Linked DNA regions of Nothobranchius furzeri. Each later gene encodes a partner of the first gene's protein in a complex. Links are inferred from orthologs where the notes say so. Each region holds a gene or a part of one and is shown in the gene's direction. Other genes may lie near its edges.

Region 1 (3,997 bases):
AAAGTCCCTTAGTCATCATCACACACTGGTGAAACGTATCTCTGCGTCTGACCCATCCCCGTGGTGAGCAGTGAGCTGCAGCTGTGGCTGCGCTCAGGAGCTATTTTATGGGTTAACCCCCCAGCCCAACCCCTTAAAGCTGAGTGTCAAGCGGGAAGGGTTAAAGTCCCACTTTTTAAGTCTTTGGTACGACCCGACCGGGTTTGAACCCCGATGTCCAAGGGCGGACCCTCTACCACTAGGCCTCTGAGCTGGTAACTGATTAAAGTGCATTAGATGAACCAGTGGGAACGTTTGTTTCTTTGCAAACATTTTTCGCTAACCAGATGTTTGTTGTCCAGCCCGCTGTTGGTACGCTACGTTACCTGATGGATGGAGAGATCGGTGAGGAGGACGGCTGTGATCGCTATCTTTTTAGATTACCCATCAACTTTCAAACTACCACTCTCTCTTTTCCCTCTTTTTCTCTTTAGTCTCGGCTAAAGGATTTGAGTATGATAACTTACACGTCCACTTCGTCCTGGATCTTCCCAATAGTGAGTAACAAGCCGTCTGTGATACTCATTTGTGATATTTAGTTTTAGTGAGATCTTAGTAAACTTTTTTGTTTTAGATTGGTCCAGCTCAATGCCCCAGTTTCTGTCAGGGGTTACCCAGACTTGTCGAACCAAATCACTGGGGAAGGTGTGTGTTTGACGTAAGAAACTGGTTACTTGCTTCAGAACATGAACACTGACACACGTTGATCTCTGCCAACAGGAAAATGTGGCTTTCTTCAGTTACCCCTTCAACTTTGAGATTTTTTACAAGAGTGAGAAAGAGAGTGAAGGTCAGCGTGAGCCTTTTCATTTTGAAATGATGTGATTTAAAAGTCTAAATTTAAGTGTTTTCACTTTTTTTAATTTCAGAGCTAATTCCCCAGTGGCCAGTGCTTTACTTCAAAGTTCTTTCTCTTGACCTGTGGGGGCGCTATCGTATTGAAGGCTATGGTTATCTGCTTTTTCCAGCTATTCCTGGTATGCTGCTGCATCTATAAGACTCATTGACTAATTTACTTCTTTATTATTTAGATGATTTTAGATTCACATTACTGTTATTTTTAATTGTCTTTAAAAGTGTTATTTTATTTTAGTCCAGGGATGTCCACCCTTGTTCCTCAAGAAACCCTACCTAGCACGTTTTAGTTGTTTCCCTGCTCCAAAGTACCAGATTAAATGGTTTGATCAGCCTTCTAATCCCCTGCTGATTGAAATCAGTAGTGCTGAAGCAGGGAAACCTCTAAAACATGTAGGACGATGGCCCTCCAAGACCAGGATTCGACACCCCTGACTGAGTTTTATCTACTGAACATTCAAAAACAAAATTTAAAGATATTCAGATAATTCACCAAAGATTGTACTACAAATGAATTCATACCAACAATTTCAAATATGCAAGATTTTTAACTTCACATGGTTCAGAAAAGTTAATAATAATTCCTCTGCATGCTCCATCATTCATCTCCATCATATATTCTGTTTCTGGTGCATCCCAGGTAAGCACACCATGACCTGTCACACATGGCGACCTCTTCAGATGGGGACGGTCTCTGCATTGAGGCGCTTTTTTATCGGAGGTTCTGCAGAGATTGAAGATCACAGCTATGTCAGAATACCAGGGACCTTCAAGGTGCACTCACAGCTAAGCTAATTCCAGGTTTTGAACCTTTGCATAAATTTTCTCCTGAAGGTTTAATGGGTGAAACATGATGTTTTAAAAATATACATTGTGGTAGTTGTAGCATTATTTCGTTATCACCAAGTTAACTGTGTATACCTGAGCAAGCAAGTAAATTAATGCATTATTATGATTCTTAATCTGGTACAATGGTGTCTGGTTTCAGGGAGACAGGCTGAGTCGCTTGGGCTTCTGCAGTCTAACCTCAGGAAGTGTCACATTTAATCTGAACTGCATCCAACAAGCCAGGTAAAGACCAGTTTAATCAACAAGCAGCTGTTTCTGATTTTCTCCCTGACAGCTTAACAGTTTATATGGAATGAATAAAACATCAGAAGTGAGATTTACTCTCTGCACTGCATGCAAAACACTATTTCTTAATGCAAATGCAAGTGTTCCATTTACAAATTTCACAAAGATCTGTATTATTAATGCAAATTGTTTCATCTTTACTTTTAAAAAGTGTTTACTGTTCGCTTCTGGTTGTTTCAGGGCCTTTGTTGACGCTGCCATTCAGAAAAAGAGGAGGCAGAAAGTCATCGACCAGCTGGGAGGATTTAGTCAGCAGGGAGATGTTTGCAATGTTCTGGGTAAACATACTCACACAGTATTTGCATCAGGGTTTAAAAGACTTTCACTTCCTGTTTGCTGCTGAGTGTATCCTTGTTTGTGTGAGCTGTGAGTTCTGTGTGTGTGGTTAAGTGAAAAAGTTTACTGTAATCAGGCTCTGAATGTTCCACCATTTATTATTTTTACCATGAAATGATTTTATGATAGCGGGAGTGAAAATTAGCATAATGCCACCAGTTAGCCTCTGTCAGCGAGCGTCAGGGCAGCTGTGGCTACATCGTAGCTCATCACCATCAGTGTGTAAATGTGTGTGTGAATGGATGAATGATACACTGTAGTGTACAGCGCTTTGGAGTCCTTACTCTGAGAGGCGCTATACAATTATGGGTCATTTATCATTTAGATTCTCGTTATTTCAAACCACTGGAAGATGGATTTGTTAGGACACTCACAAAATGTTATGGACTGTATACCAAGCCTTGCATTGCAGCTTGATTGCCCAAAGTAGACAAAAATGTAGAAAGAACAGGGAATTTTTCTGCAGGGTTAATTTAATTTGTATTTTCTGTTTGTTTGTTTTATTTCCCTTCAGAGGCCTTTCAAAGAGCATACAAAAAGCTACAAGAGGCCAGAGAAACGTTCCCACAAAAAGCCATCAACTCTACTTCCCAACTCGAGCTGGAATTTTCTGCATAAAAACCAAAAACACACTAAAACTGACATTTCAAGATGCATTTAGGATCCTGCACAAGCTTCCAAAACTGAAAAGTTTGTCTCAAGTCATCTTCTGTTCTTCTCAGACTGTAACTGACATTTTATTGACAAATGTTATTAACTTAAAAAATCATCAGAAACGATTTATTACACCAACATTAGGAGATGGAGCATAACACTTGTCTAATAAATGTACTATAATACCAGCAGTTTTTTTTTACAAAATTCAAGGTACTGTTTTCTTTTATTATTTATTTTACTGTTTATTTTTCTTATCTGAAATAAAGGTTAACTAAATAAAAATTAAATATGCAATGAAGTGGTATATTTTCCCCATTTTTAAAACAAAACAAATGGACTGAAACCCGCATTATCTGACTGCGGGTTGTCCTCCAACGTAGCATTCGTTTTAGCTCCAAAGGGAAGTAGTCCAATTTTCCATGACTGTAAACGCACCATTCTCCATCTTCCTCCAACCAGGGAAAGGACCGTTCAGCGATTTTCCCTCTCAGTTTCACACACGACCAGGTACTTAAGTACACATATTTCACGTTAATTTTGCAATCGTGTAATTTTTTGATGTGTAAATTGTGTGTCTTAGTCAATGTATGGCTGCTTTAGCGTATCTCTAGTAGGCATGTAGCGATGGGAACTGGGCCGCTGGTCGCTTTTCTCTTTTTTGTGTCAGATTTAGCCTAATGCTCAAACGAAAACTGAAATCGGTTTTCTGAAACTAAAACCCTGGTGGTTATTTAGATTCACTGTTTGGGGCTGTTTACTGCGGAATGAGTGTTGATGCTTTTTTTCGTACATAGCCGTTAAGCTAACCAATGTTAGCTAAGGGGAATTATGTATTAAGTTGATGTTTCTGGATTAAAAGTGTCACGCCCTGAAACAGTGAACTGTCTCGACTAGTGCCTGTGGGATTATCGTAAATATTTAATAGAGGTGTACAGTTTGAGGCAAATAGTTGCTTAAATGTCTCTGAAGCCATAAC
Region 2 (4,625 bases), on another chromosome or scaffold:
GCATCTCAGCTGCACAAAGCAGGCACACGCTGTGCTGGCACGGGAGAAGGATAGGCTGCTTCACCGTCTCGTCACACACCGGGCAATGCAGCTCCTGCTCCATACTCTTCATGTTGGACTGGAGGAGAGGCAGTGTGGATGTGGGAGAGGTCGAAAGAGAGAACAGACAAAAAGACCTGAGTCAGAAACAAATGCATGAGGTGTTTATCTGAAGCCTCTTATGTTCGGCCTTGTCAAGTGAACAGAGTAACTGTGTAAAGTTAGAATAACCAGAAAGAAAATATGTAACGAAGTTAGCTCACATTTTCTCTCAAATGTTTAACAAACAATAAAAATGTTAAATTCACGAAAAAAAGCATGATGAAAATCAGTTTCCGTGGACGTGGTGGCTCTTTTCCATCACTGCAGCTAGAGGGCGCAGCATCCCGTTTCTATGACAACCAGCATCATCTCTGTCTTTTCGTGTGCACGGCCCAACGCCTCTCGTGCTATTTTCTAACATATTTAAATTAGTCCAACAGTAAAAAAATCAAACGCATCAACTTCAGCTTCCACGTTTTAAATGTTGTTTTGTTGTTATTTACACAGTGCCAGAGCTTTACTGTGACGCTGATATCATGTCTCCAAACGGAATTAGCACGCTCCATCATCACAGCTGGACACATCTGTATGCAGATGGCTTCATATCTGAAACATGGGGGGAAATCCGCTAAAACATCCAGACTGAAACTGCACAAATGGCTGAAGTGACTAATAAAGCCAGCGTCATACTCACGTTGATGCGAACCAGCGCGTCCATGATAGAAGTAAAGGTTTGGAACTCCGACTCGGCCATGATGCTTTCTCGATTTAAGCGACTCAAAAGGATCTCCTGGAGAAAACCCCGGCTGGTTGTCTTCTTCTCCTGGCCGCGAGGCAAAGCCCGGGCCTTGGCTGGTGCCGCTCCGCTGCTCACGCACGCTGGATCGGTTCAGTCTGCCTCGGGGGAAGAGTCCACTGGTGGGATGGGGGTGGGAAATCTCTGGCTCAGACCATCTAACAGAAACACATTCGTTTCTTATTGCGCTGTTTTGTTTTACAGGCACGTTTATCCTGCCAATTCCAATTAAACATGCGGTTGTTGTTTGTCTTTTTAAAAATAAAACCGTTTTATCCAACAGCGAACGGATCTGGTGGCCCTTTCTATTTCTTTCATTTTGTCTTGTTTTTTTTTTCGGGGAACCTGAATTTTCGGGTAGTTTTAAGCATTTTTATGATAAAAATGAAAAGACATCAGGTGTTACCATCAGATCGCAGTATTGATGAATAAAAAAAGCAAATAAATAAACAAATAAATAATAAATAAATAAATAAATAAATATCCAGCTACACGTCAAGCTACACCTCTTTTACTAACTCTGACCAGGAAAAATGAAACGCGCTGACTACCCACCGTTACTAAATAAGATGTTTGGGTTTCTCTGTTTTATATTATTTACTGCTGATTAAAAACTCTTTTACGTGACGCGTTCATGGTCAACGCGGAACCGTTTAGGTGTTCGTTTTTTTGTCCGGTCATTAAAACCGTATGCACATTGTCCGTGGTTGTTGTAGCAACCGTTAGTTGCGTCACAACGTGAAGTTTTTGGCTCTGTTAACGAACGAGACACAAAACTAAGCTATAGACTTCGCGAGTTTTTAAACAAACAAATGAATCAGCTGGTTTATGTCATTAGCCGCAAGATAAACAGATGCTAAAGTGTTCGTTTAAAGTTAGCACATTTAGCTACATGCTAGCCTAGCTTACTGAGTGGTTTCCGTCGCAGTAAACAAAAACCTTTTACTCTTTTTTTTACTCACGAGCTTTTAGAGTTTTACTTTGCTGATTAGGATCACCATGTCGGCCATCAGCAGCCTTGTTCCTGCTCGGTTTCTCACCATCACAGCTCATCTTGTCATTGTTATCACCATCTTTTGGTCAAGGGTAAGAAAAAAATGGTTTATCTTTAATCTGATTTCTTGTGCCTGATTTTATTTTCATAATGGAGAAAACTTTATGGGATTTTAGATCTGTGGTTTTATTAGACGTTGCTGTTATATGAAATACCACAAAGGTGAACACACAAACACATTGTTAGAAATTCTGCTTAAACATCAAAGGTAATTAAAACATATTCCTTGTTGTGTTATAAAACGTCATTTAAGTTCCAGGAAGTGTCCTCATTGACCCCTAACCAGCATGTTCTGGTTGTTTCCCTGCCCAAACACACCTGATTCAATGGTTGAGTCACCTGTTTAGCATGATTAGGTCTGCAGAAGCTGTTAATCACCTCTAGGGTTGTCACGGTGTGAAAATTTAACCTCACGGTTATTGTGACCAAAATTATCACGGTTTTCGGTATTATCGTGGTATTGTTTTAAACGTGTTACATTTTCAGGAAACTAAATAAACCCTGTATATCAGGAAAATATTGTCCTCAGTTTGTGTCTAAATTTTGCCTAAAATGTGTTATTTTGTAATTATGTTGTTTATTTGTTTACATATTTCCCCTTAAGTCTTTAAAATACCAATATTTGCCCATAACTTTTCTTATTTTATGTCTGTTTGATGTCATCATTTTAAAAATATTAGACCAGATGATACTCAGTACTCAAGTAGCCTTCTAATCAGATACTTTTTACCCTTACTTGAGTAATAAACCCTATATCAGGAAAATATTGTCCTCGGTTTGTGTCCTTCCAGTGAGCTTTGCAGATGTGGGAAAATGGCATCAGGCAGTAATCGTTGTTAAATTCATAATTATTCTCGGAGAGAGACCAACTCTTATCTGCCCCTGGGAGCCCCGTAATGCATAGCGTCATTTCAACATGGCGGTGTCCGCGACACGGTTTATATGCAGGTAGCGGCGCTGCGGCTGCTTTATATAGCGACTCGTTGCGTTCTCCCTCAACCCAAATCCTCGGATCACGCATTTTAGCTAAAGCGCTAACGTTAGCTTGCCTTGCGTTGACTGTAGAGTTGTGGGTGATGGTCACGCAGATGTGTCATGAGATTTGAAGCGTTGCTGCCTTTCACAGACACTTTTTCTGCTCGTGCTGCAAACAGGATAGCCGTCTTCTATCAGCTTTCCCTCGGCATTCTTCTGGTATAAAAAAATGCCCGTACTTCTGACTTTGTCTTCTTAGAGCGATAATAAATGTCCTGAGTGCTGCCGTCTCCTCCTTTGTCCGTTATTTCAGCTTTAGCTTCAAGAAAGTTTTGGTTGTAAACAACAAAGTGCGCATGTGCCGCCGGCAACTTCAGCAGATGATACGGTGGCTGGTAAGGGTCACCGCGCCTACACCGCAGCCACGGTAATCCACCGAGATAATATAGTTTTTAAAAAAACAAGACGGTTATTATTATTGTCAACTTTTTTACCGGGGTTTACCGCTACACCGGTTACCGTGACAACCCTAATCACCTCTTGGTTAAAAACAGCAGAGCAGAGAAACCACTGAAACATGCTGGATAGGGGCCCTCGAGGTGCAGGGATGGACACCACTGCTCTACGGTCAACATCACATCCAGATTATTCAGCCCTTGAAATAATTTGCAATTGTTTTTCTTTTTATAGGAAAATAATGTAAAAGCATGTTTACCACTGGATTTCACACCAGAGCAGTATGATACCGAAGACAAAAAGTGAGTAGATATGTATGTAACACACTCGTATTATCAGGTTCTCGGATTAAATGATCTCTTTTGTTCCCTCCAGGCTGGTGGTGGCGCTGGCAGTCACACTTGGTCTGTTTGTAATCGAGCTGGCTGGCTTCTTTTCAGGAGTGTCTATGTTCAACAGCACTCAGGGTCTCCTGTGTATCCTTTACTCATCCTTAATGAAATATATATATATATATATATATATATATATATATATATATATATATATATATATATACATATATGACCTTTAATATTCAACAGTAAAGCGACTTCTGGTTAAGGCTGTAACACAAAGAACACGCAGCAGCAGCAGCTAGTGGATAACTAGCTTAGCTCTCTCCCACTTGGTCGGTTCTCTCTAAAAGACAAACGGAATAGCTGAATAAAACCCAAATTACTATAAAATAAAGGTTTGTTATAGGTTAAAGAGTAAGGATGAGTGAATTTGTTATTAAAAAGCTAGTCACTCCCAAATTAACTTTTTTTTTTGCTGATTAACTATATAAATGAGTGTCAATAGTTTTGCTAAGAAATACACACACACACACAGGCTCACAACGACACTGTGACATCATATGGTACCAGCTAACGTTCTAGGGTACCTCTTAGCCAATAGCGATGGCAGATTTAAATTCAAATGCAGTGCAGAGTTTTTACCTGACAACGGCACGACACTGACAGTTTTAGGCAGAAAATTTAAATTTTAACAAAAATGCACTAAAGTGCTAAACTATTTACGACACGTGTCTGCAGCACGATTAGACACACATTTATTTAGTTTATCAGGAAAAAAATGTTGATTTGGGGGTGACTTGCTCTTTAAATGTCAAAAAGTCATCAGTTACAGTTCCATGACTTGTTGGATGTAACGTTATAGCAACAGGAGTCCACGCCAGTGCCGCAGTGGCTCTGCTTTTCTTTCTCTTTGAGCAGTGGCAGT
Region 3 (4,484 bases), on another chromosome or scaffold:
ACACACACATGTACGCTTCTGATATGATTACATCCACTGTGCACATGACTAAACAACCACACATCACCCCTCACCCTCTGAAACAGGCAAACAAATGGAGATGAGATGGAAAAAATATCGGTTGTTAATATCGGCTCGCTTTTATTTATCGAACCGATACTGATATGTTAAAAATGACTAACATTGGCCGATACTGATATTGATGCCGATATATTGTCCATCCCTAATCGCAATGTTTACTTTGTGAAGTGCCCAGAGACAACTCTTGGCGCTGTATTGGTAAACTGAACTAAATTGAGCCAAACAAGGATCACTGATTGGCCTGACCAAGAGTTGTTTAGGCCACAGAGTGTGGGTAGACCGACCTGCAGGGTAAAATATTTTTGAACCGCATTGGTTTGTCTAGTTTTCTAGGCTTATGCTCTCAGAACTTGCCTTCCCTGTCTTCCTGTCATAGATTCAACAAGGTGTTGGAACCCGTCCTCAGAGATTCTGGTCCATGTCATCCCACTTTTACATCCATGAGGGGAATCTCCCATTCCACCACATCCCAAAGATTCTGGACCAGACTGAGATTTGGTAACTGGAACCCATGGTCATGTTCCAGATCCAGTTAGAGATTATCTAATCTTTGTGACATGGTGCATGATCCTGCTGGAAGTAGCCATCAGAAGATGGGTCCAAGTGGTCAGAAAGGGTTAGGCTAGATTTCTAAATGCATCGAGTTCCTGCCATATGATCGCGAAGATCAAAAAAGAGCTGGAGGTGAAAAAGTGATACAGGTGCTGAGCTTGGCAGACAAAATGGGAGATAAAAGGAAGCAGGTGCAATAAGAGCTGCTGTTTATGGAGCTGCAAAGGTCAGAAGACTTGGGGTGGGCCCTGGAGACAGCAGGAAGCACTGTGTGGGAGAGAGCTGAGAGAAGAGCAAAAAAAAAAAGGTTGCTGGGTATGAAACAGCTGAAAGAAAGAGCTGTTTTTGTCACATCTGAAACAAAACACAGTATTTAGACACACGTGCCAGAGGGGTTTACATACTTTGGAATGCAGATTTTTTGGTTTCATTCATTTCTGATTTTCAAGCATGTGGCGCAGTAGGAAAAGCAGACATCCATGTTTATATACAGCACTGGAGGTGTCCAGTTAGCTGGAAATTTTAAGTTAGGCTTCTTGTTTTGGATGTTGTTTTGTTTCAGTTATTGTTGAACAGACATTGCAGTCCTTTGGGCCTACAAAACAATAAAACGATGGTTGAGAAATAACATTTTCAGGGCTGGTAATAAGGTTAAAAAACGATTTTCAAACATGTTTGGTCGTGAAGTGATTTCAGTCGTGAATGAGAACGAACCTGCATTTTTAAAAGTCAGTGTATTTGATTTTGCTACCCTCTAGTGGACGCCTAGACAATTAAACCAGAGTTTTTATATTGTTTCTCCGCCTTCTTTTCTCCTTTTAATAAACTTCGGGTGTTTATAAAAATAAGTATTTTGACTGAATTTCTTGAATTACTTTTTGCTCTATTTAAAATTAATTTTAACACGTGATGGCCCAATATCACCAATAAGAATTGCGTTTAATTTTATCCAAACCGGTAGCCATAGGGAGGAGTAAACGTTGCCTTAGCAACAACCTCGGATCGCTTCAGACTGACCAAATTAGCTCGACTTATTTAACAGACTTTTACTTTCTTGAACCTCTGGAGTCACGATGGCAACAAACAACCCGAGCGTGTTCCTCCTCACGGTGAACGGGCAGATTGAGGGAGCGAACGTAAGTCGTCTTTTTAGCTAGTTTTAGCTTAGCTGCTAGCGTTAGCATTAGCAACAATGGCTCGTTTGGTGCTTCATCCGGGATGTTCCGGGTTGTTTATGGTGATGTTTGTCTTTTATTTCAGTTTCCAGAGCATGACAATCTGTACTGCAAATATTGTTACGTGTACGGCCACGACTGGGCTCCAACCACAGTGAGTATTACAACCATTAGCATTTAGGATGAAACATGAAGTATGCTTGTTGGGTACCACTTTACAATACTAATACATTTATTATAGTGATGTTATTAATGTTTTCAACGTTTTAAAGCCATTAAGTGTTTATTATGCACGAATTAAGGGTGAGAATGAGACTAAACTGGCCGGATTCTTGCCGGTATACTTCTACTAGACTGTATGTATTACACAGATCAGACTGCTATATAAACAATTTATTAGCATATTATAAAAACATAACTATCACATGACGTCAAAAGTGTAAAAAACATGTAACTTTCTGAAATGTTTTAATATAGAAACTAGAGGAAATATATGGGTGATCAGATATGGCTCACTATTGGGCAAGATGTCTCTTTTCCACTCTTCGTTCATGTAAAATAAACGTCTTGGGTTCTGAGAGCACTTATTGTGCATTTTTAATTTTCATCTATCTGTTCTGGATTTGTAAGACCTCAGAAATATATTATTTAAAGCAAATACTAACTGATAATGGATTTTTTTTAGCTCTAAATTAAAAATAATTAATTACGTTTCCTTGAGTAATAATACAATTTTGTAAGATATAAACAAAATGATATCTCAAGGCTTTTTCCACATATGTGGATGCTGTGTTTACAGATGGGTTCATAACAATAAACCTTATTGTTAAAGATGTTCAATATGCTTTTTTTTACGGATAATACTACGTTTGAACACGAACCCACACAGATGCAGACAGTAACAAACGAAACCTCAGATCAGCCATATTTTGATGTGTTTGAGGAGTTTGATGTATAATGTGAGCATGTTATGCAAAGGTTGTGTCATTCAAACAGTAAAAAAGATAACTCAACGATGTTACATTTTAATGCCAATATCGGACGATGGTATTGCCCAATAACGTCAGACGTGACTTTCAAGGATACAGAACAGGGTTTATAGATAGTTAATGCAGCGGTGGCTGGATGGAGTTGTGTTGTAACGAATGTGACTCTCCAGGGACTGGAAGAAGGAATAACTCAAATAACCTGCAAAAACAGTCAGACACAGAGATTAGTCTGGAACTTTCCTCTGGAGACGACGTTTAAGAGCACAAATCCTTTTGGGTGTGAGTAGATCACAATTTCATCATCATCATCATCATCATGTGTGACTCTTTAGGATTAACGCCGTTTGTCCCCCAGGGCCTCAGCTGGTGGTGAGTGTGTACGGACCAGATGTGTTTGGTAACGATGTGGTCAGAGGCTATGGAGCAACGCACATCCCCTTCACACCTGGACAGTCAGTATTACTTTCATGTTTGACCTAAAAGCATACAGAATGTGTTACTTCGGTTTGAAGATACAGATCTGAATGTTTTTCACTTGTCAGACATAAAAGATCCATCCCCATGTTCGTTCCCGAGCCCACGTGGAGACTTCAGAAGTTCACAGGGTGAGATCGGTCTCCTTAGCTGTTGGAAACCCGTGATCTTTAGAGGAACAGTAAATATTTCATCTTCCTCTCATGTGGAACGCAAGCTTCCAACACAAACACACGTTTTAAAGGTTCATTTTTGACTAATCTTTGTCACGTTTGGATACTTTAGATTCACACTCGGGCTTGTTTGATGTTGCTCTCAGTCTTTTTAGTGTTTTTCTTTTCATTTTTACCATGAAAACTGAATATTAATGTGATTATTATTAGATCTGATGGAGTTTTTTGCCATTTTGAGGAGCGTTTTGTGTAAAACTTACTAATTATCTGGTCAGAGAAACAGACTGTGCATCCTAGAGGACTGATGAGCCACATCCAGGCCTCTAAATGTCATAGATCGCCATGTGAGGTCATTTCACTGCTGTCAGGTTCTCATCACATAGACATTTTAGCAGAAATATGAATAAATTCCTGCAGGACCTGACCCCTGATGCACCAGAAATGCTAGTTTATTGGGGATGTTTACATTTGTAAAGAATGTGATGAACCACAGTGAGCTTTAGCAGACCTGTGCCGTTTTAGGACAGCAGCAACTGGGACTAGCCATTAGCACGGCCTTCGTGAAGGATGCAAATTATTCAGGAAGCTGTGAACTGTTTCAGAGAAACACGCTAAAAGATCCTATTTCTGTTCAGCTGGCTGCTGGGGCGGCGGCCCGAGTACACAGACCCTAAGGTCGTGGCCCAGGGTGAAGGCAGAGAAGGTTAGTGGTGCTTTTTCTTCTTTTACCTTTCTAGAATAAAACTTTTAACATATATATATTTTTCCGTTTCAGTGACAAGAGTTTGTTCCCAAGGCTCTGTAACCGTCTCCTTTCACATCATGAGTAAAGACATGAAGAAGATGGGCTACGACGTGGGACCGTCACACGTCCACTCTGCCACGCCGGACTGAGCCACACCAACTCCTCCACGTGGATTTAGAGCAGTCAGCCACAACCTCTGAACTCTGAGCTGACTCGCCTTTTGGAAAACAACCAGTCAGAAACCGACACAGGAACACTAGAGGGGCTGATAAATGGATGCTCTGACTGTAGTTAT
Region 4 (3,866 bases), on another chromosome or scaffold:
CTTCAGTTAGGAGTAACAGAGATTGGTTTTGACTAAACATTTACAAACGTTCCTAAAACTTCACAGCAGTTTATGCAGATGCTATTTTATAACCTTTACCATGCCATCATTTTTCACATTTGAAGTATTTTCTGGCTGAAATGTCATAAATTCAAGCCAGGAAGAAACTGGTCTCCTTAGTTTTAGAGTCACCGCTGAGTTTGATGTGAATAGCTGTTTAATATAAAATATATGGTGATGTAAATGTTTATGAAATAGCACTTACATGAGCTGCTAGTGTTTTAGATTAGTGTTGTTTAAAGATGACACAAACACTTTGTAATTGGCCCTACTCATACTAGCTGTTAGCTCATCGATCTGAACTGACCTGTGTTCCTGAAAACTGAAATAGTTACCTTTAACAGGACATATGCCAACTGTTTATCCTTTTCACGAAATCTCACTTGAGACCCTCTGAGCTGTCCCTTTAAGGTTTTAATCTCAACTCTAGTCTCTGTCCAAGTATAAACTGGATTTTATGGGGGCATGGGACATTTTCATGACCCTCCTTGTCCTTCCTTGCTCTGCGCCTCCTCAGATGTGCCGCTGTCCTTTGAGCCTGATGGAAGCAACAAAGTGATCCTGCTGACCTCTGGGAAGCTGGCATGCTGCGTTTCCTGGGGGATCGGGGAAGATGATGTACCGCGCGCTCCTCCTGTTTCCCAGCAGCTAGGTGCTGCACACAGGTAGTCTCTCTAGGAGAGATCCACTGGTTTAGATTCTTTACCAGTGGGGTTCTTAAACTGGGATCTCTGACGATCACAGGTGTGATCAAAGTTTTTCTGCACAGATGTACGTAGTCATAATTACACTGATCTACTGAGTGTGTGAGTGCATGCATCAGAAACGCTGCTATACACACACGTGTGTTTGACTGTACTTACTGTGATTTTTGGACTGCAGAGAATAGAATAATAATGGAAAGGCTGCATTCAGATTTGGGGCAGCAGTAGCTCAGGTGGCAGAGCGGGTTGCCTCATGATCGGAGGGTCATGGGTTCGATTCCAGCTCCCGCCAGGGGTATCCTGCTGTTGAGTCCTTGGGCAAGACACTTCACCCAACTTGCCTGTGTTAGTGGTGGTCAGAGGGGCCGACGGCGCCAAATGGCAGCCTCGCCTCTGTCAGACCTCCCCAGGGCGGCTGTGGCTACAAGTAGCTTACCATCACTAGCAGTGTGTGAATGTGAGAGTGTGTGAAAGCGTCTTTGGGTGTCTAGAAAAGCGCTATATAAGTTCAATGCATTATTATTATTATTATTATTATTATTATTCATAAATCTGTTGTGTTTTCCTGTAAGACAGCATTTAGTCTAGAAGTACAGCAACTAGCAAACACTATGAACACCATGTGGTATAAAGATGTTGGAGTTGGAAAATGATGAAATGTGGAGCCATAAAATATTTCATCTGCAGATGAAACAACCCAGTTACACGGCCCAGGTTTCAGGAGGACGTGTGTTTCCTGCTTTAGTTACTGATATTTACACATGCCTTCAGCTCCTCTCAGAAAGACGTATGGAAGCTTCAAGATTCTTTGAATGTTTTAGGAAAAGGTTTAGCGCTCGTGACTTTTGGGAATGCTGCTGAAGTGACCAGGAAGAAAAGGTTTGGAGCAACTGGTCCCAGGTGTCAGTTTTCCAGCAGTAGTAAATCCCACAGAGCACCCGTGACACAGAAGAGTCCATCATTGACTTTGGCTCTAAACATTTGGGCTCGCCTACACTAGCAAGCCACCTGAGCAGGCTTTGTTTCTGTGATGTTAACTCTAATCAACCCGATGTCTCAGTGGTTTGGGGCATCTGGACGCAGTCACTTATATCGGTGCATCTGGACTGTACGACATGAAGAAGATTAGTGAGTGGGCCACACAGTCACGACTGGATCCCAATGATCCAAACAATGCCTCCATCATGCAGCTGCTAAAGGTGAGCAGCAGAACCATTCTGTTGGTGCTGAAGATGGCTCAAAAGGAACCCGGCTGTGACGAGGAAGCTGTTGGTGTGTTGACAGGTGGCCAGCAGCGGGGAGGTGACCGCTCCGGACTACTTCCGTCTGGAACACCTGCAGGAGGAATTTAATTTTGCGACTGATGAAGAGATGGAGAAATCCAAACGATTCCGCCTGCTCAGGCTGAGGCACCAGGGAGTCCCCGAGTTCCGCAACTACAAATTTGTTCCTGCGTTCTCCAGTGAGACGTCAGAGGAGGTGTTCAAGGTCAGAGTCTGGCAGATACACACATCAGAACACGCAGGATGGAGGTTTCTTTTCATTCACTTTGGCTGGAATGTTTTAGGAATATGACAGACGACTGAGAGATGAAGAGATAATCAACAAGGAAGAGCATTTGGATTCTCACAGAGCTTTGGTGGCCAGATATCTTCAGAAGGTAAGAAGGCACACATGTTAGAATTTTAATTTTAAAAACAGAACAGCGTCTAGTTTACTCTGATCCTTCCGTTTCCCCACAGATACGAGAATCCGTCATCAACCGATTCATTCAGGCCAAACATCACTACCTGCTGTCTGACTTGGTGGTGGAAGAGGAGATCCCGAGCATCGGGTAAACCCTCCAGAAGACTAAGCAGTCTGACTTTCTTCTCCATTTGATCTGGTCATGTTGTGTTAGATAAACACGTTTGATCTTATAACTCCTGTTAAACCTCTGCGTGTTCCTTTTGTTAACATGAGTGCAAAGGTGCAGGCAAAGCCACAGTTCCCATCTGTAGTTGAAAAGGCAAGGTTAGATAGCTGGTACCACAGAGGTCAGGGCTCTCGTCATCACAGTCAGCTCAGCTGGGAGAGGGGCAGAGTCAGCGTTTGGCACAGACTGAAGTAAGTACATCTCCTCTCATGGAGCTTTTCCTCTGATTGATCTTCACACAGCAAGAGTTCTCCTCTTGAATTCAGACGATTATGTTAAAGCTAGGTCTCTCACAGTAGGACCATCAACATACATACTGGACAATTTGTGTCCAAAGGCTCCAGTAACACGTTTTTGTGCCAAAGTGGGAGGTGGCCACCACCGCCATTTTGACCGTGTCACAGGTTCCGTCAAACCCAGACAATTCCATAAAAGGGGAAAGAGGTGGAGCTGAGGGTGGGGCTGTAAGGCTGGGATCAAATGACGACACCCGTCGAACTGAAGCGATGTCGCTACAAGCTAACCTAAAGCTAACACGGAGGTGGGAGCTAAGCTAACGGAGGTAGCTACCTAGCGGTGCACAACACCAGAGCTTCTGAGTCAGAGATACGCCGGGCTGACCGCTGGGTAAACCCGGGTGGAACACAGAGGTCTCCGAGAGCTCCACAAGCCGATAGCCCACGCAGCAGACAGGTGCCGCGATCAGACAGAGATGCGCCGAGCTGCCGCTGGGGGGAGAGGACCATACCGATAGTGGGAACCCAGCTCCACCAACATGTCATATTTCAGCCCATTTTCTAAAGTGCAGCATTATGTTAAATGCACTGGGTTTTACCCTATTACATTTACATTTCATGGTTAAACAGTACATGTTCAAATCTAAGCTCAGCTCGGCAGTGACCTAAAATACATAAATATAATTTTACTTACCGAAAACAATGAAGTGGAGACTCCTTGGACGCTCTATTAGTGCAATTAATGCCACAGCAAGTCATTTTGTCCAACAATTGCACAAATAATATCCAAACAAGAACACACACACGCTACAACTAATGGTCTAAGTTGAGAGACTCAAAATCCTGGAGCAGTTTCCAGGCCAGACCGAGGCTCTACTGAGGCCTTTCCACGGAGCTAGCTCTGTGGTCACGTGGGTCTGATGCTCATTAATTATACAGAATTTTAGGCTT
Region 5 (3,935 bases), on another chromosome or scaffold:
AGGACCCAGTAGCTGTTCACACAGTCCATGCAGAAGTCCACATGTCCACAGTAAAGAGGGTTCTTCATCAGCTTTGAACACATGTAGCTGGACAGAGAATCAGCTGCCTCTCTTGTTGCAGCCATCCTAGTTTCTGCTAGAGCGGGAGTGGCTTCACACACAATCAGTAATTTTCATTTTCTCTTAAAGCAAAAAAACAACAACTATGAAACAGGTTTTTTCCTCCTCCTGGTGTTATTTGCCTGACTTGTATAACTAAAAAAAACTTACTGAGCATGGTTCCCATAAGTATGGAAGCCCATTCCTGCCACTCTGATTAAAAAAATGTATCTCATAATTATGACTTACCTATCTCATAATAACAAGACACAATCTCATTATTTAGGGATAGCGTCTCATAATTATGAGATACTATCTATTCATTTCAGCCCCACATCTCATCACGTAGGGTGGAAATTAATCATTAAATGGTATGAATGGTTTGATTAATTAAATTTCATGAACTATTTTTTACTGATTCAAGACTTTGTTAACCCTCCCACTGTCTTTATGGGTGACCCCGCGAGGAAAGTTGACCATAAAGCAGGATTGATGGTTTATCCCTTGAGGTCCACGTGGCAGGGGTGAGGTGGTGCTCACTCCTCACCCCTGCCACGTGGACCCAAGGGATAAACCATCAACCCTGCTCAATGGTCAACTTTCCTCGTGGGGTCACACCCATTAGGACAGTGGGAGGGTTTAAATATGTGCACCAAATTTTACTGGTGCAGAGAGGGAGGGAACTAGACAACACCTATTGAATACATACTATTTTTACATACACATTTTTTGCAGAAAGCCACAATTTTGTTTCACTTAAAACATTGTCAAAGAGAATCAACAGAGGGTTCGATAGAATGTTCGAATACTAAAATGTTCGATAGCTGCAACCCTAGTATCACTATAATGAGATAGCTAGTAAAAATTATGATGCTGTCTCATAGTAACTAATTATTCTGAGACATAAAGCCATATCAAATGCTATCTCATAATAATGAAATGAGATATTTTTTAATGAGTAGCGTTAATCAGCTTCCATAAATATTATTTGAGCTACACATTATACTCTCCCCCCTATCTAGTCTCGCTTTTTAAATTTTTATTATCAATGTAGTTAAAATCTGGGAAGTTTTGAAAACGCAAAAGGAGACACGTTTTGCTTCTGGCCTTTCACTTTCTCTCACCCCCACTACCATCAATGGTTACCATGGAAACGACGGTGGCTTTCACGACGGAGCTAGTAGGAAAAAGCGGAAGTGTTTCTCCTCTGGTCATGTTGTTTTTAGCCTGATTTTCTTTGCAATGGAGCTGCCGGAGACAGTTAGGAGGCGCTTAGAAGATTTTTCTCGGAATGTTTTATTCGACCAGACTCGTAATGAGCCGTTCTCAAAACACAACGACTCGTTTATACCTCACGGTAAAAAAAAAAAACAAAAACACAAGCTAACTATGAAGTCGAGTTAGCATGGATGTTAGCATGGATGTGTGTAGCCTTGTTACTTTACCATACCGATTTTAGTTAGTTCCCCTCATTTTTTTTGTATGTGTTTAGACAAACGGGTTCTGTCCAGCCTCCAGCTCCAGATGTCTTTGTACTTTAACACGTGGTTCTTCCCGTTCTGGTGGATCAGTGAAGCTGTGATGCTTCACCTCAAGGTACGAGGTTGGTGGATGGAAGCCGCGAGCAGAAAACCCAGAAAGAAAGAAAAATCCCAAATATCTAAGCTAGATTTAGGATACTTTGGTGCTTAAGTATGGATATGTATTAAACTATAGCAATTCATTTTAGAATCAGATTTTTCATGTATGTTTTGAAGCTTCCAACACAACAAGAATGCTGATGGTAGTTGTTCTTGCAGTATCCTGCCCTTCCAAATTACTACAAGTTTGTCCTTGTGACTGTTCTTCTACTGATGACTCTGATTGAGGCCATCAGACTTTATCTTGGTTACTCTGGAAACCTGCAAGAAAAGGTGAGACCATCTCAGATGACATGATACAGGTGCTGAATGCAGGGTGGGGTTTGAATGTAATTTCTGATCTGTGGAAGGTTCCAGAGTTGGCCGGCTTTTGGCTGCTGAGCATCCTGCTGCAGTTTCCACTCATTCTTTTTCAACTTTTTAATGAAGCCATAATCATACTGCCCTTGGAGAGAGGTGTCCACATAGTTCTTGCCATATTTATCCTCACACAGGTATGACTGGATTCTCAGCTCCATTTTACGTGGCAAATGCACCTAAATACACATGTTATTGTGTTTTCTCAAATTTGAGATCAAGTAATTGTGACTGATTGTAATCTGTTTTTTTTTTGTTTTCTGATTGATCCAGGCTGTCTTTGGTTTTGTGGCCCTGCGGGAAATGGTTAGACACACAGGAAGCCAGTTTCATCTCCAACAGTTTGACTGACGTCCACATATGTTCTGGTGTTCCATTTGATCAGGATTTATTCTTACTTCATACCTCCCAGTCTCAAATGACAAAAACTATGTATTTGCATATAGGATTTGGTACACTTTCTTCACACAATTTTAAATTTAATGCTAAAAAATAATAGAAAATATTTATTTTTGTATTTTGTTCCACTTGTATCATTGCTTTTGTAAATTTGAAGTAAATCATGTTTACTTGACTCACTCTGTACTGTTAGTTAGCATCTGGTTTAGATTTGTTGACCATTTAGTTATTTTTTAATTACAAAAGAAATTTTTGTACAAAGTTACCGACATTTACGCTGCTCTTTGTTCAGGAGCTTTTTGCTTCAGAGGGACTGAAACGTTCTGACCAAAACAGAAAGTTTCAACAAAATTCATGAAACACCCAAGTGCTTTATTTTATTTTATATTTTTTACAACATTTATTTTCATGTACTGAAAATATTATTTGAGAAATCATGAGATTGCATTAGAATAATCAGAAGAATTAAAGCATGTTATTGTCACAAGACGAAGAGATAAGTGAGATTTGGTATAAAACGTATGTGTTTTTCTGTTAGATCTTCCCAATGAAGCATCATTGTCACAAAAATAACTTGTTCTATTAAAATGCAGCTGAACTTTGAGAAGAATCCTGGCACCCGTTTCACTGCTTTGTCTTGATTAGGTTTGTGTTTGATGTGGAGGACGCCTGAAGACAAGATCTGTTTCTAAAACGATGCCGACTGCTGGTATTGGTGGAGGTGAAACTCGTCAGCGGCTGGTTTTTTGGAACAACAGCTGGAGCCATGCTGGTAGACAAAGATGGGGGACATCTGCCATGAAAGCAACACAGCATACAAAAATTATGAACACACAACACACCCTTTTGTAATAAACTATAATCTATCCATGAAGTTTACCTGCCAGGTGCTGCAAAAGGAGATGTCAGCCCTGAAAGAAGAAGGTGGTTCGCATTAGGCAAAAACCGATGGAGACTTTAAGCTGCTGTTCAAGAAACAAACCTCTGCAGACTTGAGAGTGGGAAAGAGATTGGCGCAGAGGGAAACGCTGGTGCTGCGCAGAGGGAATGAAAGTTGGAGGAAGTGGAAGGAGAGCACTCAGGTGTAGTAGCTGAGAGGAGCATTTCCACTGTCCTCTCACTATTGCATCACCTGTGAAACGAGTCATGCGTCCTTATCTGCTGGAAAACCTCCTATGTGTCTCCTAACCTTACCTGAGTGGGGTGACGCAGCTGCGCGCGTGTCGGCATGTGGAGACGCTCTCCGCTGAAGGCATGAAGTGCACCGGCTCCCTGAGCAGTTTTCCTAAAACACACAAAAAAATACCATAGAAAGATCCACAAGTTGGAATTAAAATAACACTTTTTATTATCTTTCATTAATGATCAAAAATTAAAGGTCATGTAATTTTGTAGCAGAAATAACAGTTACACTTGACAATAGAGGCCCCATTATTAATC
Region 6 (3,229 bases), on another chromosome or scaffold:
CATGTTCAAAGAAAGAATGAATGCACTCTCTGCTGTTCTTGTCCCATAGCTTTATAGTTCTATCATCACTGCAGGACACAATTAAACGATCATCTGGAGAAAACCTGGAGAAAAGCACATTAAAATTTTAAAATTAAACATTTGAGAGGAAAAGTGTAAAAAAAAAAGGTGAAAACTTGACATCACATATTAAATTTTTTAAACACTTGTACAACACTTTACTCATCATTACAAATATCACAGGGAAACTTGCATGGTGTGGTATTAAATGGGAGTGTGTGTGTTTCATACTTGGCACAGCGGACCCAGTTGATGTGCTGGTTAAGAGAGAAGAGGAACTTCTGCCTGTGGACCGTCCACACTTTGATTGTTTTGTCATTAGACGCTGTGACCAGGCTCTGTCCATCACCGGAGAAGTTAACACAACGCACAGTGGCAGTGTGAGCCCTGAATTCAGTTGAATCAGCCTTCCTGCAAACACAAAAGGTATTATTCATACATAAAGCAGACAAACACACTGTTTATTCAGGGCGCTGGTATGATGAAATTAGAGTAATCAGCAGATCTTGTTCTTTTGCCTTTAGGAATCCACAGCTTTGTCTTGAGTGATAATTTCTGGAGAAACTTGATGAGAAGAAAACAACATAAAATGCTGCTACGTATAAACTTACATGCTGGGCACCCAGAGACGTACAGTTTTGTCTCTAGAGGCCGAGGCCACAAGGTGACCAGATGGAGAAAACTGGACAGAGTTTACAGCTTCTCTGTGTCCATCGAAACGATAAGCTCTCATCTGAGGCTTCAAGTTCCAGATCATCACACAAGAATCCATAGAGCCTGTGACTGAGAAAGGAGGAAGCACAAGCTGGTTGAAGCAAGAGATTGGTATTAACTACAATGTGCACACAACAAACTGGATAACAGGTGAATATATAGACGGACAAAGGCTCAGATCAAATAATAATAATATTACCAATTTGTTTCATGTTGCGGCTGAAGTCCACACTTGTCACGACGTCCCTGTGACCCTTGAAATTTCTCTCTAGGGTTGGATCAGACTATGATGAAATCAACAGAGATTTTCAATTATTTTACAAGTTTATGTTTGGAAATTATTTTTTCATTTGTTTTATGACCACTTTTGTTATTAAATGATATTTTCTTCTTTTTTGTATTTTATGTTTTATTTTTTATGTAATTTTCATTGAAGAACTTCATGATTTTCTTTTCTACAATAGGTTCTATATAAATAAATTTTACTTTCTTTAGTTATCCATTGAGTTATATAAAAGTTGCAAGATGAACAGTCATCAGGAAAAGCAGGAGAAAGCATATCTAAATAAATAGCTTTTTAGAATTTATAACCTTAAAAAATAAAGCACCATTGAGATGTAAACAATACATTAAAAAGTACAGTGCACTTCATTTGCCATCTTGTTGAACTTGCGCTGTTAAATAGTTATTCGGAAAAAAGTAAACCAGCGGTTCTTGTATACCCTTTATTCAGTCTTTCAGGTATGATTGTAATTTATGTAACAGCTGCTTCACGTCATTAATTAAATTGGTTAAAATTCGTAATTAGTTTACTAAATTAAAGGTTAAGTAATATTTTTTTAGCAAGAAGATATAAAAATGTGTCTCATTTGCCTTCAAAAATAGAACCAGCCCTAGACAGGAAGTGCTGCCTGACAGACTCTGCTCAGGGAGTGCTGTATTAAGAGCACACTATGGCAGGCTGGGTTACCAAGGAGACGTGAGCTGCGTTTGTTGCTCTGTAGCCTTTGATAAAAGCGGGCTCCGTGTGTCGCATGTTCTGGTTAAAGCGGACAGCTGTGAAATGGCAGAGCTTCACATTATAGGACAGATCATCGGGGCCAGCGGGTTTCCTCAAAAAAGCCTATTTTGCAAATGGGAAGTTCATACGGGGGGAGCATGGCGTCTTCTCTCGGGGCTGAAGGAGGGTCAGACTCAGGTGGATTCCCCCCACAGCGGAGAAATGGCTTACTGGAGCCACCCAATTGATCTGCACTATGCGACCAAAGGTCTCCAGGGCTGGCCGAAGCTTCATCTGCAAGTGTGGCACCAGGACTCATTCGGCCGCTACCAGCTGTACGGATACGGGTACTGCCACGTTCCCTCCAGCCCCGGACATCACCGCATAAGCTGTGTGACATGGAGGCCGCTCGGCTCCTGGCAAGAGCAGCTAGCACGAATATTTGTCGGCGGAGGCCCCCAGCTCCGCAACCCGGATCTGATTTACAGTGGAGCGGACAGATACAGACTGCACACCGAGGCCATGGGCACTGTGAATCTGGAGCTGGGCGTCATCATAAGACACTTTGACAAACATGGCGTCGAGAGCTGAGACGTCAAATAAGAATGTTGTATTGATTGTTTTCTTATAAAAAGTTTGTTTTGTCGCAAATGCCTTTGAAAAATTACACACGGCAAAGTTTTGTACATTTCTATGCTGATGTTTTTACACCTGAAATACAGCTATAAATAAACACTTATCATTGAAGTTGGTTTCTTATTCATCTACCGTTTACCATCAATCCAACTATACCTAATATTTCATATTTGTAACGTTATGAATATTTGAACATGTGTGTGTGTGTGTGTGCGTTAACCAAAACAAGTAGTCTACTACAAATCAGACACGAACTTCCTCAGTTGCTACAGTAACAAGTGCTAGCCAAACTCACCAGTGCAGAAGTCATTTTTCCCGGTATTTAGCACGTACACCCGAGTAAAGAGGCTCGTTGCTGCTTTGGCTATTATGACCGAAATACAATTGTTCTCAACTGTGGGTTTTGAAATGAACAGAGGGAGGAAAATATCGCTCCGGTAATTGGAATTGTTTTTTCTAATGCTAGCTGCTAACAACAGAGTTCAGTTTACGCGCCGTGATTGGGCGCTGAGCTGTTGGCCAGAGTCCTTAAAGGGGACGCTGGACATTAAAGGACGTTTGTGTCGAAAAAAGACTTCAATCAAATGTAAAAACGATGAATAACAAAATAAGAAGTTCCGGATTGTACAAGCAGTTATTTTCTTTTGCACAACAAATCCAAATGACCAAGGGGCACACGAGTGTAGTAACCAAATATGACCACAAGATGTCAGTAGCGGTGCAGTGATGTTTTGGAACAAATGTTTTTTTTTTTTTTTTTGCATTGACGGGGAAAAAACATCCAAATTAAACAATTGGATGGTCTTTTTGCAGAAGTCA
Region 7 (4,582 bases), on another chromosome or scaffold:
AAATATACAGTCTTGCTTATTACATACAGTGACAGCCACTTTTAGGAATATTAAATGGCAAATAGGTCAAAGCATGATGTTAAGATCCTCTTAAGCTGGGGTATTCACATTTTAGCACACCTGATTCAATGGTTTCATTATCTCACATTGGTTCAAATGTGTGAGCAGAGAAACAACTAAAACAAGCAGGCAAATTGCCCTTGAGGACCGGAATTAAACACACCTGCTGTAAAACATACAATCTCTGAAGAGAAAAATAAGCCTGTATCCAAATAGGACCATGACTTGCCTCAGCCATGGGGGTGCCCCAAAAGTCATTGAGAAACAGGTTGCGAATGGGGGTGGTGGGCCGGAGGTCCTTGTTGTCGAGGATAGCTGAGACATCATCAAACACAAAGCCACACGAGAGACTGTTCCAGTAACATCCCACCACCAGTCCAGTCAGAAATAAAATCTCCTTCCATGACACGACAGCCATGGCTGGCCAAAGCCCTCATTGATCACTGCAGGGAAGGAGGGGTTGGCAGAAATCAAAATTAATAAGCACAGTTTGATTTAGTTTAAAACGCTTGTATTGTACTTACATTACCAAGCTGATTAAACAGAATTAAACTTTTAAAACTTTGTGTTCCGAGGTTAGAACAGGTCATGAAGCCAATTACATCAAATGTTTTCTGTCTAACTTGAGCCCTGTTATGGCAACAAACTGCAATTTCAACAGTATTTTCTTCTCTGATTGACTGGATTATTTATTCTAGCCTATAATTAAAAGTAAGGTATTTTAATGGCACAGCAAGTAAAGGTATGCATGGAGACTGACCGTTGGCTTTTAAGCTTATCCGGTCAAACCACGACCCGGAGCTGTGACATTTGTCAGTAACAACATCATTAGCAATATAACTCGCTCATTAACATCTACTTTAAAATACAGTATGACGGAAAACGAGGTGGTTCTTGTGTATTCACAGTGACGAGACACCACTAAAAGAGCAGTAAGAGAAACTCAGTTTGACAGCTGAAACTGAACAGCTAGATACTTCATCCGCTAATGCTAACTAGCTCGTTACCCGTCTTTATGTTCTGAAATGTCTAAATATGCGCATTAAGGTCTATCTTACCAAGTGATTACAGGACAGACGGCAGCAACACCAAATCTTATATCAAAATCAAGAAATAGTAGCGTAAATTCGGACAACATAGTTCATCAAACTGTTTTCCATTTGTGCAAACTAGCTTAAACGCTTCTTCGATAGTACTTCCGGGTCAGAGGTGACTGCGCAGGTCAAACTTTAGCTAAACAACAGAGCTGCTAAACCCGTTTTGATGGATGAAACTCACTTTACAGACTCTTCGGAAACGTTATAGTGCGGTATTCCTTTATTATAGGGTCCCGTTTATTGTTTCGTTGTGTTTTCGTTGACGTTTTGTAGCACTTGAAGATTTTTGTGAGTTTTACTTCCTAGCTGTAGCAGTTGTGAAGCGTAACCTAGCAGCCAAAGCCTCACAGAGACCTCAGGAGTTAGGATGAGAGTTTACTGACCTTTTTGCTTCAAAACTTCAGAAACGTTTACACGACGTGTTTAAAGCAGCCTACCAAAATCTACGTTTTATATGAGGTTACAGCGGAGCTGAGTAGAGTTATTTGGTACACCTGACGGCTGCAGTAGCCTTTTAGTCGTTGTCTCGTGAAAACATTGATAACCACAGCAGTTGTCCAAAATGCTGCCAGCCGGCCATGTGTGGAATAAAGTGTCAAGATTTGACCCCTGGAACGTGCATGAATGGAAAAAGGACGAAGTGGACGATGTTGTCCGCACATTTATTTCGGTATTTGTCCACTCTTAAATCATATGAACTCTCCAGATGTGCTCTGTCAGACTAATGCTTTATTTTAAACAATAGAAAACGAGTTAATTCGAAGCGAGTGGAGGAAACAAGCGTTAAACCTCATTATTACTAAAACGGTTGCATGAATTGTCCTACTTGAGCTACTTCTGTTTTTTTGTTGTTGTTGTTGTTGCTGTTTTTAGACTAATCTTTCAGGAACACAATTGTTATTATTAAATATAACCCAAGTACTTTCAGAATACAGATTTCAACTGAATATTTTATTTATTAATAATGAATTCACTGTGAATACATCTGTAAATATTTTTCACATCATTGTATTTAGAGCCAGTGCAATGAGAGAAGAGATGGGGGGAAAACAAGCTCCCATAACAAAACTCATATTTTCACTTTTTATCAAGTCCTTTTTTTGTTAAATATCTATATTTTTAAATACATTTGGGAGTAATTTGAGGTTTAATGCATACATTTTTGTAAAGATCTTTCATTTTAAAAATGAATAGCTGTCATATGTTTAAGAAAAGCCTGTTTAGCAGAATAACTTCATAAAATAGCACAGAATGAAATAAATTCAAGTAAGGGACGAGTAATTGGTTATGATTAACTGGACAGCATTTTGTTTTGTTTGTAAAATACAGAAAATATTATTGCAATTCTTTTCAACAAAATGTACTTTGGGGCAAAAAGTATTTGGCAGCCACTGATTTTACTAGGTGTCCCACTTGTGTGGTGTGGGTGACTTATTTTATCAATCTATTTGTAGTGGTCTCTAGTAGGAATAAATGCCTTGTAAGTCAATATACTAGTAGCCTGGCAAGCTATACTTAATAAATATCTTAGTTTGGCAATGCTCCATTGACTGTTCTTGGTTGTGGGGCAGTTTCTACCATGTCTTTCAAAGGATCTCCGTATGCAACTGGACAACGAACAAAGTGACGTACTCACCGCAACGGATGCCGGTAAATGAGGCGGTCCGCTGGCAAAAATAAATCCTTTTTTCTAATTAAAGGACTTAAATACATCTATCTGCTCCTGATTCTAATGAAGCCCAAGTCCAAATAGTCCAAAATTGATGTAGAAGTTGTTTCAAATGAGCGGTCGCCATTTTGTTCCACTCTGTCGCATCATCCTGCCCACCAGACCGATTGGCCCACAAAGCTGATAGAACGCTAATGCAGGAGATTAGTGTAGGAGACGTTTTTCATGTTCAGCCTGCATGAAAAACTCACAGTGACCGATTCATTAAAAAAATGTTTTTTTTCAGTCAACCACACCTTTAAAAAGATGAAAGAGTACTTTTCATGAAATGTACACCTCAACTGTGAGAGAAAGATAATGTAAAAAAAATCCTGGAAATCACATTGTATGATTTATTTTGTTTATTTGTATAATGGTGCAAAAAATAAGTATTTAGCACCTACAAACAAGCAAGAATCCCTAACAAACCCATTACTTCACCTGTCTTCTATGCTCTTCTGTCCCCCAATTGCTGCATGTGTTAATGGCAGCTGTTTGAACTTGTTAACTGTATAAAAGACCTCTGTTCACACCTTCAAACAGTTAGACACCAACCTCCACCATGGCCAAGACCAGAGTTGTCTAAGGACTCCAGGGACAAGATTGTACACCTGCACAAGAATCTACAATAGGCAAGCAGTTTGGTGAGAAGAGATCCACTTGGAGCAATTATTAGAAAATGGAATACATGCAGGGTCACTGGACATCTCCATTGACTTGGGGCTCCATGCAAGATCTTAATTAGTGGGGTACAAATGATCTTGAGAACAGCTCAAAACTATATGAGGGGAAATGGTCACTGACCTGAAAAGAGCTGGAACACCCTGCAGCGCCCGTAAGGTCTCCCTTCTTATGCCAGCATGTCCAGGCCTGTCAAATAGAATACAATAGACTTTATTGATCCCACAGAGGGAAAATTCACTTGTTGCTGCAGCACCAACACTGAAGAGAATAATTTGAAGATAAATAAGATTTGCTGGAGGCCATCTGGATGATCAAGAGGAGGACTGGGAGAATGTCATGTGACCAGATGAGTGCAAAATAGAATTATTTGGTATAAACACCAATTGCCATGTTTAGAGGGGCCATAATGCTGAGATGCATCCCAATAGTATCACACCCTGTGTGAAGCATGGGGGTGGAAACATCATGTTTTGTGATGCTCTTCAGTTAAGGGGACGGGCGACTGATCTGTATTAATGAAAGGGATAAAAGGACCATCAACAGTGAGATTCTGGGCAAAAAAATTCCTCCATCAGTAAAGGCACTGAAGCTGAAACGTGGCTGGAAATTCCAGCTACTGTGTCCAAACCTGATGAGGACCTACAGGAAACGTGACCTCTGTCATAAGTATAGAGGTGACATTTTGTTATAGACCAAATACTTATTTTCTGCACCATTGCACAAATAATTTCTTTAAAATCCTCCAATCCTGTCTCTCACAGTTGAAGTGGGACTTCTTGTACAATCGGTGGCTGCCAAATACGTTGTTCCCCACTGTAGCTCTTAGATAGTTTTGACTCTATGTCCCCTATTTCACAGGTGAGCAATCATTGTCCTTAAGGGCTGCTTTCCAGCATGTTTAGGTTTTTCCCTGTTTCGACACACCTGATTTTAGTCATCAGGTGATTAACAGGCTTTTGCAGACCTTGAAGAGCTGCTGAGCATATGAATAAATGTTATGGAGCATGGAAACAAATAAAACATGCTGAACAGC

Evidence for each region.
Region 2: mks1 (region 1) and tmem107l share a complex: the UniProt entries of both Homo sapiens proteins name them as parts of the tectonic-like complex. The link is inferred for Nothobranchius furzeri from reciprocal best matches to the Homo sapiens genes MKS1 and TMEM107.
Region 3: mks1 (region 1) and b9d1 share a complex: the UniProt entries of both Homo sapiens proteins name them as parts of the tectonic-like complex. The link is inferred for Nothobranchius furzeri from reciprocal best matches to the Homo sapiens genes MKS1 and B9D1.
Region 4: mks1 (region 1) and cc2d2a share a complex: the UniProt entries of both Homo sapiens proteins name them as parts of the tectonic-like complex. The link is inferred for Nothobranchius furzeri from reciprocal best matches to the Homo sapiens genes MKS1 and CC2D2A.
Region 5: mks1 (region 1) and tmem17 share a complex: the UniProt entries of both Homo sapiens proteins name them as parts of the tectonic-like complex. The link is inferred for Nothobranchius furzeri from reciprocal best matches to the Homo sapiens genes MKS1 and TMEM17.
Region 6: mks1 (region 1) and b9d2 share a complex: the UniProt entries of both Homo sapiens proteins name them as parts of the tectonic-like complex. The link is inferred for Nothobranchius furzeri from reciprocal best matches to the Homo sapiens genes MKS1 and B9D2.
Region 7: mks1 (region 1) and cep290 share a complex: the UniProt entries of both Homo sapiens proteins name them as parts of the tectonic-like complex. The link is inferred for Nothobranchius furzeri from reciprocal best matches to the Homo sapiens genes MKS1 and CEP290.

Annotation. Positions count from the first base shown.
Region 1 is NC_091750.1:66,889,749-66,893,745, forward strand, and holds the end of mks1 (tectonic-like complex member MKS1), read left to right. Parts: intron 1-341; coding exon 342-384; intron 385-473; coding exon 474-536; intron 537-613; coding exon 614-684; intron 685-759; coding exon 760-829; intron 830-908; coding exon 909-1,016; intron 1,017-1,534; coding exon 1,535-1,668; intron 1,669-1,882; coding exon 1,883-1,965; intron 1,966-2,208; coding exon 2,209-2,306; intron 2,307-2,878; coding exon 2,879-2,982; 3' UTR 2,983-3,315; downstream 3,316-3,997. UniProt on the Homo sapiens protein: Component of the tectonic-like complex, a complex localized at the transition zone of primary cilia and acting as a barrier that prevents diffusion of transmembrane proteins between the cilia and plasma membranes.
Region 2 is NC_091745.1:78,310,691-78,315,315, reverse strand, and holds the start of tmem107l (transmembrane protein 107), read left to right. Parts: upstream 1-1,569; 5' UTR 1,570-1,876; coding exon 1,877-1,963; intron 1,964-3,596; coding exon 3,597-3,664; intron 3,665-3,737; coding exon 3,738-3,838; intron 3,839-4,562; coding exon of another isoform or gene 4,563-4,625. UniProt on the Homo sapiens protein: Plays a role in cilia formation and embryonic patterning. Requires for normal Sonic hedgehog (Shh) signaling in the neural tube and acts in combination with GLI2 and GLI3 to pattern ventral and intermediate neuronal cell types.
Region 3 is NC_091752.1:49,447,777-49,452,260, forward strand, and holds the start of b9d1 (B9 domain-containing protein 1), read left to right. Parts: upstream 1-1,517; 5' UTR 1,518-1,706; coding exon 1,707-1,769; intron 1,770-1,893; coding exon 1,894-1,962; intron 1,963-2,967; coding exon 2,968-3,076; intron 3,077-3,152; coding exon 3,153-3,249; intron 3,250-3,339; coding exon 3,340-3,402; intron 3,403-4,079; coding exon 4,080-4,147; intron 4,148-4,219; coding exon 4,220-4,338; 3' UTR 4,339-4,484. UniProt on the Homo sapiens protein: Component of the tectonic-like complex, a complex localized at the transition zone of primary cilia and acting as a barrier that prevents diffusion of transmembrane proteins between the cilia and plasma membranes.
Region 4 is NC_091748.1:39,037,835-39,041,700, forward strand, and holds part of cc2d2a (coiled-coil and C2 domain-containing protein 2A), read left to right. Parts: intron 1-577; coding exon 578-725; intron 726-1,824; coding exon 1,825-1,963; intron 1,964-2,048; coding exon 2,049-2,252; intron 2,253-2,331; coding exon 2,332-2,424; intron 2,425-2,506; coding exon 2,507-2,598; intron 2,599-3,866. UniProt on the Homo sapiens protein: Component of the tectonic-like complex, a complex localized at the transition zone of primary cilia and acting as a barrier that prevents diffusion of transmembrane proteins between the cilia and plasma membranes.
Region 5 is NC_091744.1:77,713,031-77,716,965, forward strand, and holds tmem17 (transmembrane protein 17B), read left to right. Parts: upstream 1-1,258; 5' UTR 1,259-1,341; coding exon 1,342-1,456; intron 1,457-1,591; coding exon 1,592-1,695; intron 1,696-1,898; coding exon 1,899-2,012; intron 2,013-2,089; coding exon 2,090-2,233; intron 2,234-2,369; coding exon 2,370-2,447; 3' UTR 2,448-3,105; downstream 3,106-3,935. Other genes in the region: agbl2 (cytosolic carboxypeptidase 2), read right to left, coding at 3,120-3,288, 3,376-3,406, 3,478-3,627, 3,690-3,780. UniProt on the Homo sapiens protein: Transmembrane component of the tectonic-like complex, a complex localized at the transition zone of primary cilia and acting as a barrier that prevents diffusion of transmembrane proteins between the cilia and plasma membranes.
Region 6 is NC_091743.1:62,502,959-62,506,187, reverse strand, and holds b9d2 (B9 domain-containing protein 2), read left to right. Parts: upstream 1-1,399; 5' UTR 1,400-1,837; coding exon 1,838-2,365; 3' UTR 2,366-2,521; downstream 2,522-3,229. Other genes in the region: poc1a (POC1 centriolar protein homolog A), read right to left, coding at 1-104, 292-471, 672-843, 974-1,058, 2,706-2,720. UniProt on the Homo sapiens protein: Component of the tectonic-like complex, a complex localized at the transition zone of primary cilia and acting as a barrier that prevents diffusion of transmembrane proteins between the cilia and plasma membranes.
Region 7 is NC_091744.1:50,508,376-50,512,957, forward strand, and holds the start of cep290 (centrosomal protein of 290 kDa), read left to right. Parts: upstream 1-1,511; 5' UTR 1,512-1,719; coding exon 1,720-1,827; intron 1,828-4,582. Other genes in the region: protein O-mannosyl-transferase TMTC3, read right to left, coding at 290-478. UniProt on the Homo sapiens protein: Involved in early and late steps in cilia formation. Its association with CCP110 is required for inhibition of primary cilia formation by CCP110.